3 linked regions of the Drosophila melanogaster genome follow. The protein of the gene in region 1 interacts with the protein of each later gene in a pairwise test. Each region holds a gene or a part of one and is shown in the gene's direction. Other genes may lie near its edges. The genes, in order: CG6688, Sr-CI and CG10939.

Evidence for each region.
Region 2: the proteins of CG6688 (region 1) and Sr-CI interact in a two-hybrid assay, tested with the Drosophila melanogaster proteins (one large-scale study listed by BioGRID).
Region 3: the proteins of CG6688 (region 1) and CG10939 interact in a two-hybrid assay, tested with the Drosophila melanogaster proteins (one large-scale study listed by BioGRID).

Annotation. Positions count from the first base shown.
Region 1 is NT_033777.3:23,010,334-23,014,089, forward strand, and holds the start of CG6688 (uncharacterized protein), read left to right. Parts: upstream 1-2,078; 5' UTR 2,079-2,180; coding exon 2,181-2,339; intron 2,340-2,408; coding exon 2,409-2,477; intron 2,478-3,582; coding exon 3,583-3,705; intron 3,706-3,756.
Region 2 is NT_033779.5:4,119,628-4,123,383, forward strand, and holds the start of Sr-CI (scavenger receptor class C, type I), read left to right. Parts: upstream 1-2,074; 5' UTR 2,075-2,132; coding exon 2,133-2,352; intron 2,353-2,418; coding exon 2,419-2,956; intron 2,957-3,081; coding exon 3,082-3,756. Other genes in the region: Sr-CIII (scavenger receptor class C, type III), read left to right, coding at 736-970, 1,028-1,568, 1,629-1,815.
Region 3 is NT_033778.4:17,392,570-17,396,325, forward strand, and holds the start of CG10939 (uncharacterized protein), read left to right. Parts: upstream 1-2,023; 5' UTR 2,024-2,457; intron 2,458-3,756.

The DNA of each region.
Region 1 (3,756 bases):
TAGCCCTTCCATGCTTTGTTAGCAATTACACACCGTTTTTTTTTCCACCGTTTCTGTTAGCCAGCTGGTTAATCAATTTTCACAACTCTCGGCCACGCTAGATGATTTTCGATATCTTTGTGATCGTATCGTAATCACTTTATTTCGGCGCCGGCGCTTCGCACTTCGCGTTTTCCAGCGGAACTTGCGGCGCATGCTCACTTAACCGAATGCGAGTTGCGAAGAAACTGAGGCTCGACTTCTTCACAGCTGACCAGCAGACCTACTAACTTGGCTTAAAGCGAGCGCCACCTGTGGGCAGAGCTTTGCACTTGGCTTCAGCGAGCTTTTCATCGTTTTATTTTGTTTTTTGGAAACCGCATCTACTGGCCACAAACAAGTCGAGAGCCAATAGTGTGAAGAGGCGGAATTGCACTTGAATTTGGCCATTTGCCTTTGGGCCCGGCCTAATTGCTGGCCGATTAATAAAAGTCAATTACCTTTCAGGTGGATGGCTTTCCGAGAAACATGAATTTCGATGTTATTGCCTGGGTAAGTATTCTCTAATTTTGACACTGCTGACGGCTTTTGGCTGCCGAACGCTTCTGCGTGCCACATAAATTTGGCCAAATCTAATTGAACTGGCAAATTGAAAAGCCAAAAACAAATTACACACACACACACCACGCACCACAATGCCGCCCAGGGTCAGTTTTGCTGGGCGCAAATTTAAATGAAATTACCAATTTCAATGCTATTTGGCCAATGTTTTAGACGACCAGAGCAGCGCCAAACTCAAATTACCGCCTCAATGGCAGTTAAACCGGCGATAACAAAACAACAAAAAAGCGAAAGTCAAATGGATGTCGATGGTTTGGCCATGCCAAACCAAATCCATTTGTCAGCTGCCAATTTCCATCAGTTATCATTGTTAGGGTTAATCGACGAGCCGGTTTTAGACCCAATTATTTATTTAGGGCCCCATTGTTTATGTTTATCGCCGTTTGACACCCTAGTGCGGTGCCAACACACTCGTCGTTGTTGTTTTAATTTCTTTTGGCATTTCGAATAATAATATTTTGGTTTACTTGCTGGCCACTCAATCGCAAATGCACTGGCCATTTGACACTGCCAACACGCAATTAAGCCGAAAAATAGTGCTGTTTATTTTCAAATTTAATTACAAAGTCGGAAAACTTTTAAAGTCAACAAATGGGAATTAAACTGATTAAGTTTCGTGTGCATTACTGCTAATAGCGATTTTATCTGATTACGATTTGTGCCAAAACCGTAACCAAACTGTATAAATATACAATTTAACACTTAATTTGCAGGTCTTGTTCAGTTTATTTTGGCTATTTATATTTGTTTGGGCTGTTTTGCTATATTTACCTTAATAGTTTTAATCTCTAGTAACAAAACATGGTATAAGTGATAAGCGCAGCTTTATTGTTTTCAATTTAAGAGAAATAGCAGAAGGTTTCCATGAAAAGCGAAGAGAAATAGCCGAAGGTTTCTATGAAAACTATTGTATTTGGCCATGTTCTCGATTTCACTTCCGCACAATTGTAGCAGCCTGCACATTCGAACCAACTAATTTACCAGGTTATCAAATGACTTAATCGCTGAAGAATTTGTTTATTTATTCGGTATATTTGAAGGTGTCACAATACGTAGACATGCAACTTTATAGCGCACCCAAAAACCGCTGCCAGCCCGAAAGTTCAAATATTTACTTAGCTCCACAAGTCTCATTTCCATGATCTCAGCTGGGTGTCAGCTTTGGATCTCGGAACTCAGATCTCAGATCTCCGATCTCGAATTCCGAATCTCGGATCTTGAACCGCAGCCACATTTTGGCGCCGAGCACTTACAACACCGCGTCAGATGGCCCAAAGTCATTAAGTTGTGGAAGGGGTTAAATGTGTGATGCTGGGGAGCTTGGCCAAAATGTTTGTCGTAGCCGATTGCGTCGGCCCAAAGCGCTCCATGTTCACTGCTCGCCGCTCGGCAACTTTTCAGCCAGCCAGCCAGCCAGCCAGCCACATACACCAGCCAGCCAGCTGGCTCGAAAAAAAATCAACAGACAGACGAAAAACAGTTTGCCAACTGAGAGCGCACGTTGAACACGTCTCTCGCTAGCCGCTTTTTATTTTGGCCCACAACGATCCGAGCACCTGTGCGAGTTTTCTAGCCCGAAAATGAGGAAATCAGCGGGAGGATTTCATTCCACATCCAATGAAGATGGGCAGCATGGCGATGGCTCCTCCGTGCGACTACTGAGAATTCCCAGAGCCGCACCTGCGATGGAGAACTACGGATTTCAGCTGACCCGCAGCAAATGGGATCCCTATCCCTGGGTAATAAAAGTGGCCATCGTTTGGAGATCCCGTCCCCTCCTAATTACCATATACCCATTACACCGACAGGTTTGCGAAGTGGCAGCCGGCACACCTGCCGCTCTCTGCGGCCTGAAACCCGGCGATTGCGTTCTGGAGGTGAGTAGAAGTTAGTGCCACAGGTTGGTGCCACCGTTGTCAGTTCTTTCAGCTCTCAGCCAGCAATGGACTGGCGGATTATGCACAGCGCAGACCAACTGCATTGGTAACTAAACTGCATTGGTAACTCAATCTGCGCCTGAACTCCAGTTACAAAATTAAGAATGCAATAGATCGACGCGGGGATTTACTTTGTAAACCTATTAAGAGCTTATTGAGACTGCTACTCAGGTTCCCAACTATGTGCATTCCACTTAGGATAGAAGAAAACAGAGTTTGAGGAACCCATTAAAATTATAATATATTTATAATCAGAAAAAAGTTCCTTTTGTTAGCTAACAGCTAGAAAAATAATGTAGTTTTTGTTGTAAAGCTAATTATGTATACTTGCGAGTTTTCAAGTCAATAAGTTCTACAAATTTGTGTGAATCGTAAGTTAAGATAAAAAGTACTATTCAGGAAAGCATTCCAATATGATGATTTGCACTTCTAGAAACAAATTCAAATCGCTATGGTCTTTTAAATTACGAATAGCTTGAGCTATGGAAGTTGGACCGTACATATATCCAAGTCTGGACTTTGCAGCCGCTATTGTAGCCGCATTTGTTGTTCTTCGTGGATATTGTTTACTTAAAATAGCAATGCAGTAAAACTTAATTGCTCGGCATCGACTTTATTTAGAAACTTTATTGGATGTGGAGTGGGGAACTAGAAACAGCTGGTGAATGCACAGCCCGCCCTAAAACTAATGACACAACTCGAACGTAGTAAAACAACTAGTTGATGACAAAGATTAATTAGCACGAAGTAAATATTCAAAGCAAATATCAGTTATCAGATAACAGATAACAGCCAATTGAGTTAACAGTGCTAGCTAAGGTTAACATCCGCAAGCAGTGCGTGCGATACAGCCGCAAGCAGTGCTTTCGAATTTGTAATTGTGTTGGCCATATTTTGTGGTATTCATTTGTTTTCTTTGGTAGCTCGTGGAAATCCAAATATTTAGATACTTGGTACTTGCTTTCTGTATGGCACTTATTTCCTAAAATAAATAAACAACATTTCCAGACATTTTCTATAAAATTCTATAATATTTTATTTCCAGGTAAATGGCAACGATGTTTTAGGCTTGAGAGTGTCTGAAATCGCCAAAATGGTGAAGAGTCAAAAGGACTGCGTCACAATTCTCTGTTGGAACAGTGAATGTGATAAGGACTGTGATACTAATGTGAGTATTTTCATTGCAGTCCTGAAATCCTTCTTTAAACCATCAAACACA
Region 2 (3,756 bases), on another chromosome or scaffold:
GAGCGACCGTCATGATTGCGAGTTGTTTGAGTCTTAAGCGGAAGTAAACATAAATCACAGCAAGAAGCGCCACCCGAACCCTCGACAATCATTTTCCAGGACCTTCCAACAGATGCCCATTTATTTAAGCTTGCAGGCGACAGGAAGAAGATGCTTCTATTTAGTTCCATCTCCATGGAATCCAATTCCGACCGGAGATGCGAATAATTGCATTTGAATGGCGTCCCAGGACAAAACGATAAAGCCAGTTTAGTGGTGTTATTTGGGGATGAACTAAACGAATAATTTATCATTCACTGATAATAAGATATCGCCCAAGTTCAACCGATCTACGGATTTCCCATACCTTTTTCGGAACAATACAATTTATCAGCCCTTTTGCAATATCGTGCAGCATTTCTACAAGTATTCAAGTGTACATTTCATTTTATTCAAACTAACATATGGCAAGACCCCACCTACTATTTAGAAACATTTGGAACTTACCGTATCATTTCACATGTTCTGAAAGAAAAGAGAAGTGTTTATTTATTATAAAATAAAAGTGTATAAAGTAAGCAGCGGTTGGTTCAATATTTGTAGAAGTAAATATAATGTGGAAATACGCAAAAAGTAAACGATAAGATTTTTTGAGATTTTTGGTACAAAAAAGTTGATAGCAGATAAGGAAACGTAAAAATTTGTATTCAAAAGCTTTACTCAGTTCAGTCGTTATTTAGCATCCAAATTTATACAATGGCAATGGTTTCTGTAGAAATTTTGTGGGCACTGAGACTATTTATGATATATATGGTGATCCAATCGATTGCCAGTTGTGAGCCCGACATTTTGTTGCGCAACGGAAAAGTTACAGAGTTATCTAGTTGGCTCCTAGGTGATAGCATCAAGTTCGAGTGCAATCCCGGATTTTCTTTGCAGGGAAAGACGTGGCACCTTGGCAATGGAAATATGATGAAGCGTTACTGCGCCAGTGAGTTAAAATGAGTAATAAAACTTAAAATATGTATATATAATGTAAAACTTTCAGAAGCGGGTTGCAATGATATTGAGAAACAAGCCAACGGAACCATTTTGACGGCCACGGATGGCTTAAAGGCGGAAATCGAATGCGATGATGAATTTGTTCTTAGCGGAAATTCCTTTACCTACTGCAATGGAACGAAGTGGATCATCAAGCTGGGAACCTGTCAGTTGGCCAACAGCGTCGGTGACCATTCCTGTGACTTCGAACGTGAGGATATGTGCGGTTGGAGGGCCAGCAAAGCCATACCCCAACCATGGAAGCGAATAAGTGCTGCGGCAGATTTTCTCAAAGAAAAGTGCCTGCAACAGGATCACACATTCCAGAGCGACGTCGAAGGACACTTTATTCGCTTGCAATCGCAGGTACACGCTTCCAGAACCTACCACTTCATATCGCCGATCTATCCCAGGAACCTCACGGTGGGCCATTCCTTATGGTTTCAGTTCGAACTCTTTATGTTTGGTTCGGAAGTAAGAAACCTGACGATCTCCGTGAAACCCTCTTCAATGGCGGTCGAGGATATGTGGAATAGTTTCAGAAATATGTAAGCGATCTATCCAAATCACTTTAAAATGCTTTAAATACATCTTATGTTATTCTCCAGCTGCACCAAACTCACCGTGTCTGGCGATCAAGGCCCAAACTGGAAAAGCCAGTCCATCTCCATCGACGAGATGGAGTCGGACTTCCAGGTGGTCTTCACAGTCGTGGACCCAAGTTCTCTCCATGGAGACATTGGTATCGACGATGTAAAATTTATAAAATCTGAAACCAATGAACCACATTCTTAACAAGGACGAGTTGTAAAATCTATTATCATTTTGGGCTTATAAGATTTACCCATAGTATAAGTTTAAAAAACGTTTATAAGTGCAGCGCAAGAAAATAAGACGCGATTTAAATCTATATTTATATATATTTGTATAAAATTAAGAGTGAATTAAGAATGAACAATATAGCGGTTATCTGCTCTTCGACTTCAACCATCTTGTAATTGTATGAGTCCCGCTCTTCGTTGCTCCGAGTGATGTCGAGCTGCAATCGGACTCTCAGTCTTTTGACAGCCTTCGACCGTATCTATACATTAAGTTCGTAATATCTCTGCGGAATGGAATTTTTCTGGACTCTGGCTGTGATTGTGATATATTGTATAGGTCACATTCATGGACGATGTGAAAGATCAATAGATTTGGATAATGGAAGTATAAATTATCGACAGAGAAATGTGGTGAGATTCAGATGCAATCGCGGCTACACTTTGCAGGGAACAGTAATGCAAACTTGCGATCGAGATGGTCGCCTTCGAGGCGAAAAACCATTCTGTGCCAGTAAGAGCCACAAAATCGATATAATCTAATGGTTTTACTGAGTTTCTTGCATTTTTTCAACATAAGGTAGGGGATGTGCGAGGCCCGAGGATCCGGAGAACGGACACGTCGAAAATCTTTCCCTAAGGGCGGATGTCGTGTGCCACGATGGCTATGTCTTGGTCGGTGGTCGCACTGCCTACTGCGATGGAGAAAGATGGAGCACCCAGCTGGGATCGTGTCGAAGGAGCAACCACACAAGAGATCATTCTTGCGATTTCGAGAGCGAGGATCAGTGCGGTTGGGAGGCGGAGACAACCTTCCGACGACCCTGGAAGCGAGTCAGCACGGTATCCGATATTCACTCCCTAAGAACGGGACCCCGCCACGATCACACGTTTAAAAACGAATCCGGTGGTCATTACATGCGCATGGAAACCCAAATGGGGGCTTATGGAAGCTACCATCTGCTATCGCCGATCTATCCCAGATCCCTCACCCTGAAGACCGCCTGCTGCTTTCGATTCCACTACTTCATGTTTGGCGCTGGTGTGGATAATCTGGTGGTGTCCGTTAAACCCGTTTCGATGCCAATGGCAACCATGTGGAATAGGTTCAGAGCCAAGTGAGTTTTGCCGGAGCGGAAGAGGTTTTAGATTAAAGGTCGCAGGCAATGAGATAAAAGTGGCAAAAAATTCCGAAAGCATGGCAACAATTATACTGATTGCTTCTGTTTCTGTTTTATCTTAGTTGCAGCAAATTTGAGATATCTGGTCAGCAGGGAACCCAGTGGCTAGAGCACACGATCAGCATTGACGAGATGCAAGAGGACTTCCAGGTGATATTCACGGCAACGGATGCAAGATCCCAATTCGGAGATATTGCCATCGATGATGTAAAGCTAATGACAGGCAGTGAGTGTGGCACAAACGGATTTAGCACCACCACAGAACCAACGGCTCCGACAGGCAGCAACGAGCAACCACTGGTCTACGATATGATGAGTTGTTCAGGTCGATGCGGAACATCAATCTCGGCCTCCAATATAACCAACAATGGTATAGTCATGGGATGTGGGTGTAATGACGAGTGCCTTTCGGATGAGACTTGTTGCCTAAACTATTTGGAGGAGTGCACAAAGGAGCTGCTCACCACGACCGAGGATGATATTAGTTCCCTGCCCCCAACGGTCACATCAACAAGCACAAGCACTACGAGGAAGTCAACGACAACAACAACCACAAGCACAACTACTACAAGTACAACAACAACTAAAAGGCCAACCACAACCACAACAACAACAAAGGCCACAACTACAAAGCGAACAACAACCACTAAAAAACCGACAACAACTTCAACAACGCCGAAGCCAACAACAACGACTTCAACCACACCAAAGTCTACAACTTCTACAACGTCTACAAC
Region 3 (3,756 bases), on another chromosome or scaffold:
TGTGCACTGCTTGTGTGAATGCGAAGGCCAGAGTCGAAGCGAGATGGCAGTATGCAAAGAACCGAGACAAAGCAAATATATTCGTACATATATGCCAGCTAATGTGTGTGTAATTTTATTTTTATTTGTACAGCAGTGTGCGTGTTTCGTTCGAAAGTTAAATTGAATCGGTTCCGTTGGCTTTCTGGGTTTTTCTGGCCGCCTGTTCGGTTGCTTAAGAAGATTGAACGATTTTTGCACGGTTTGAGTTTTGAAAGTTCATTTGAGTTTTCTGTTTGGGGACAATTTATTTTGATGTGGTGGTGAATTTTTGTACCAGGATTTGATTTTTATAATTTTTATAGAATTTCGCTTAAATCCGAGGTGTCCTCTTTCATTAGGTTTTCAACCTCATTGGAAATGCAATTTAAATCATTTATTACGAAAACCCCTGTAGGATTAAAGAAAACTTTTTTATTGCAGGTTCCCCAAAAGTTTTTGGCAAAATCTCAGCCTTCGCAGCTCTGCATTTGCATCTTCTTTTTCAATTCTTTGTTTTTGTTGATTTCGTTTTTTGTGCATATAAATTTGTTGCCTAATCCGGCGACGTTTTCCCAGGGAGTTGCATTTAAAGCGCCATTCGCTATAAATATTCATGCAAATCGGCAGGGAGCTAAGAAAGTGCCACCCACCAACCTCTAGAGATAAACAGGTGAATCGGCAAACAGAGCAGGTGGCGCCCATCGTTCGGCCTTAATTAAATGTAAAGGCGTTGCGCTTTAAATGCAATTGCCCTGCTCGCTAAGTGGGAACTTATTTGCAATTTCATAATTGCCAGCACTAGTTCTATCTGCACGACTGGCCGCCCTTGCCGTTCCAAGAGTTTGTTGGTCCAACTTTTTCAAAAACTAATTAAAACGATAAGGGCAACCGAGTAGAGCAGCGAAATGTCGCCGCGGAGTACCCAAAAACGCGAGCATGACACTGAAAATAATTCATCTTGTGTTTAAAAACCATCTTTAGAACAGGATTCTGAACTATAAAAATGGTTATTTTTTTAAATATATACGTAAATTTTTTTCATAAATGTTCTAAAATGTTAAATGTTAAAAATACCACCATCAATCATCCCCAATTTTGTTTGTAGTGGAATGTGCCGCTGGAACTTTGACTATTCCATTGCGATGTTTATCCAAAGATCTGCCCAAATTTGCATTAGCACACGGCTTTTGTTTGTCTCCCACACGTGGAGTGAAAAGAGTGTGCCAAGGGGCGATGAAAGTCAATTTACTTGAATGCCCAGGCGGAAATTAAATAAATTCTATGAGCACACGTCAGGTGCGCCAGGCCGAAAATGACAGTTGTCAGCTGTCAAAGCAGGGCCAGAAGTACAGTTGACCACATATCCATAAGCGTCAGCTCAAGGACCTAATATCACTCAATAACAGCGATTCTCATTGCATGGTATTTACCAATGTTCCATTACACTTCATACATTTCGTTTAGAACTGGCTTCTTTCTTGCAACGGACGACAAAACCAATTGGAATTGCACCCAGTGCCTTCTCGTTCATCCCTCTGATTGATTTCCATACAGGTAATGCAGTGGCTTGGAAACATCGTTGGACACTGCTGATAAGAGGACACAATGGGATTAAAAGGGCCCAAAAGTGAAGACAACAAAGTGATGGGTTTTACGGAAATAAAGAGCTTTGAAACAAAGTCATCATACGATAGGCCATAAAGTGGTGTAATTTCGTGGAGTTAAATAAATAATAGCTAATAAATTGCGTTAAGCGTATTGGTTGCACTGCTTAAAACATAAACATTTCAGAACATTCAAAAAGTAGTTTCTTTTAGTTTTCAGATTTACCATTGAAGCCGAAAAATCTCTCGCCCTCGAACTCCCGTGAAACTCACCACAGTGATCTGCGGACTTTTCTACTCTCTTTTCCACCACGCTGGCCCAAAAGTATGCAACACAACACACATAACGATCGGGGCTTACTTCGGCTCTCACCTGCCGCGGACGCTTCAGCAACCGAAATCAGTTACGATTTGCCCGCGAAAGCGTTAACAACGTTTCAACGGATCTTCAGCGTGTGAGATAATATTACATACGTAGAAATAATATCAGGAAGGCAGCAGCAACAGCAGCAAAAACAACGCGAGTAGCCCTCTCTCTGCGCCTCTTTCGCCTGTCAACAGTTATTTTAGCCGATTGTTTTGTGTGACTTTTTCGTGTGCTGTTCGCTTTCGTTTCGTTTAGCTGTTCGGCAACTCCTTCATTTCATTAAAAATAGTAAGGCCTTGTAACAACAACAACAAGAACGACGACGTGTTTATGTGTGTGTATGTGACAGCGTTTGCATACGGAAAAGAGTAGAGAGTGCAACAATAATAACTGCAACAAAAACAGAAAACTGAAAATCAACAGCAACATTTGAAAGGGAATCGTTTCTACTTGTTTGTTTAAGCGGTAAGTCGAAAAATGAAATTTGCAGCCTTGAGACAGTTTTAGAGCCACTGAACTTGAGCGAAATGCGAGCAGAATATCAATTGATCCATTGGAATTACTACGGACAAACGTAACAAAACAACGTGCTAAACATAAATGTGCAAAAATAATTATAAAATCGCATTGAATCACTTGCCATGATTTAACCAAGTTAATAAAAGTCCATTTCATTTGCTGGTCATCGCAATTGAAAGCCATAAAAACTGTATTTTCAATAACTGAAATTAAATAAACAATTTACACACGCAAAGCGCTTTGGGGTGGGAAAGAGAGGACGATTTGGCTGCGGGAGCGAGAGGGAAGAGAAGCTGCAATCGGCCTTAACGATTACACTTAGAAAATTGTTATAATCGGATTTTCAGTTTAAATTTCAATTGATGAAACAACAAGGATTTGATGGAACAAGTCAATATTTTTTAAACTGAATCCCAATTAAGTCCATAGCTATATGTACAAGTATATCTTAAAGATACTGATAAGGGGATTATTTGCATTTGAAATAGTACACCCGCTAACAATAACTTTTTGCTCTCTGCATTAAAGCTGAATCAATAAACTAAATAAGCCAAATTAAAATGGGCTTTTATTGCGTACCGCTAAATGTGTTGCCCTGTTAACTGCTTTTGGCTGCACTAACCGTCGCACCGCCTTACATAATAATTGTTTTGATTTATATTGCCCCCTCTCACTCGCACGCTCTCGCACCATCTCTTTTGGGCGCATTGCATAAGGCCGTTGCGTTTGCAAATGCGACATGCATGCGATTTTGTCTCTTTCTTGTCGCCTATCACTTGGCGGCCTCTCTTTCTAACGCTATTCATAAATCGCTGTTAAGTTTGGCAGGTTTTACTCCCACTTCTTCTTCTTATTTACGACAGCAGACACTCCCCACCTGCAATTCACCTGAAAAAGCCCCGAAATCCCCAATCCCCAAGTGACAACTCTGGTATTCCAGCAATGCCTCAAAGCAGGTTTCTTTAATGGTTATTTTTTCTAGTCTTTTTCTCTGTTTTTGTTTAGACTTTGCTTTTATTTTAGTTTCGAGTCGCTGGTTGTTGTTGCACTAATTCACCGGTTTACTTCTTCTGATTTGCTGGTTGTGCATTTTTGTCGCGTGTATTTCTGGTTTTTTCATAGTTTTTTTCCCCCTCCTCTTTTGTGGGTTTTTCTATGGCACTTGCCACGATTAAGATCCAATCTTCGGCGTTCTGCGCTTGTCACTAGCTATGCTAATTCGATTAAATCGGTATTTAGCGATCG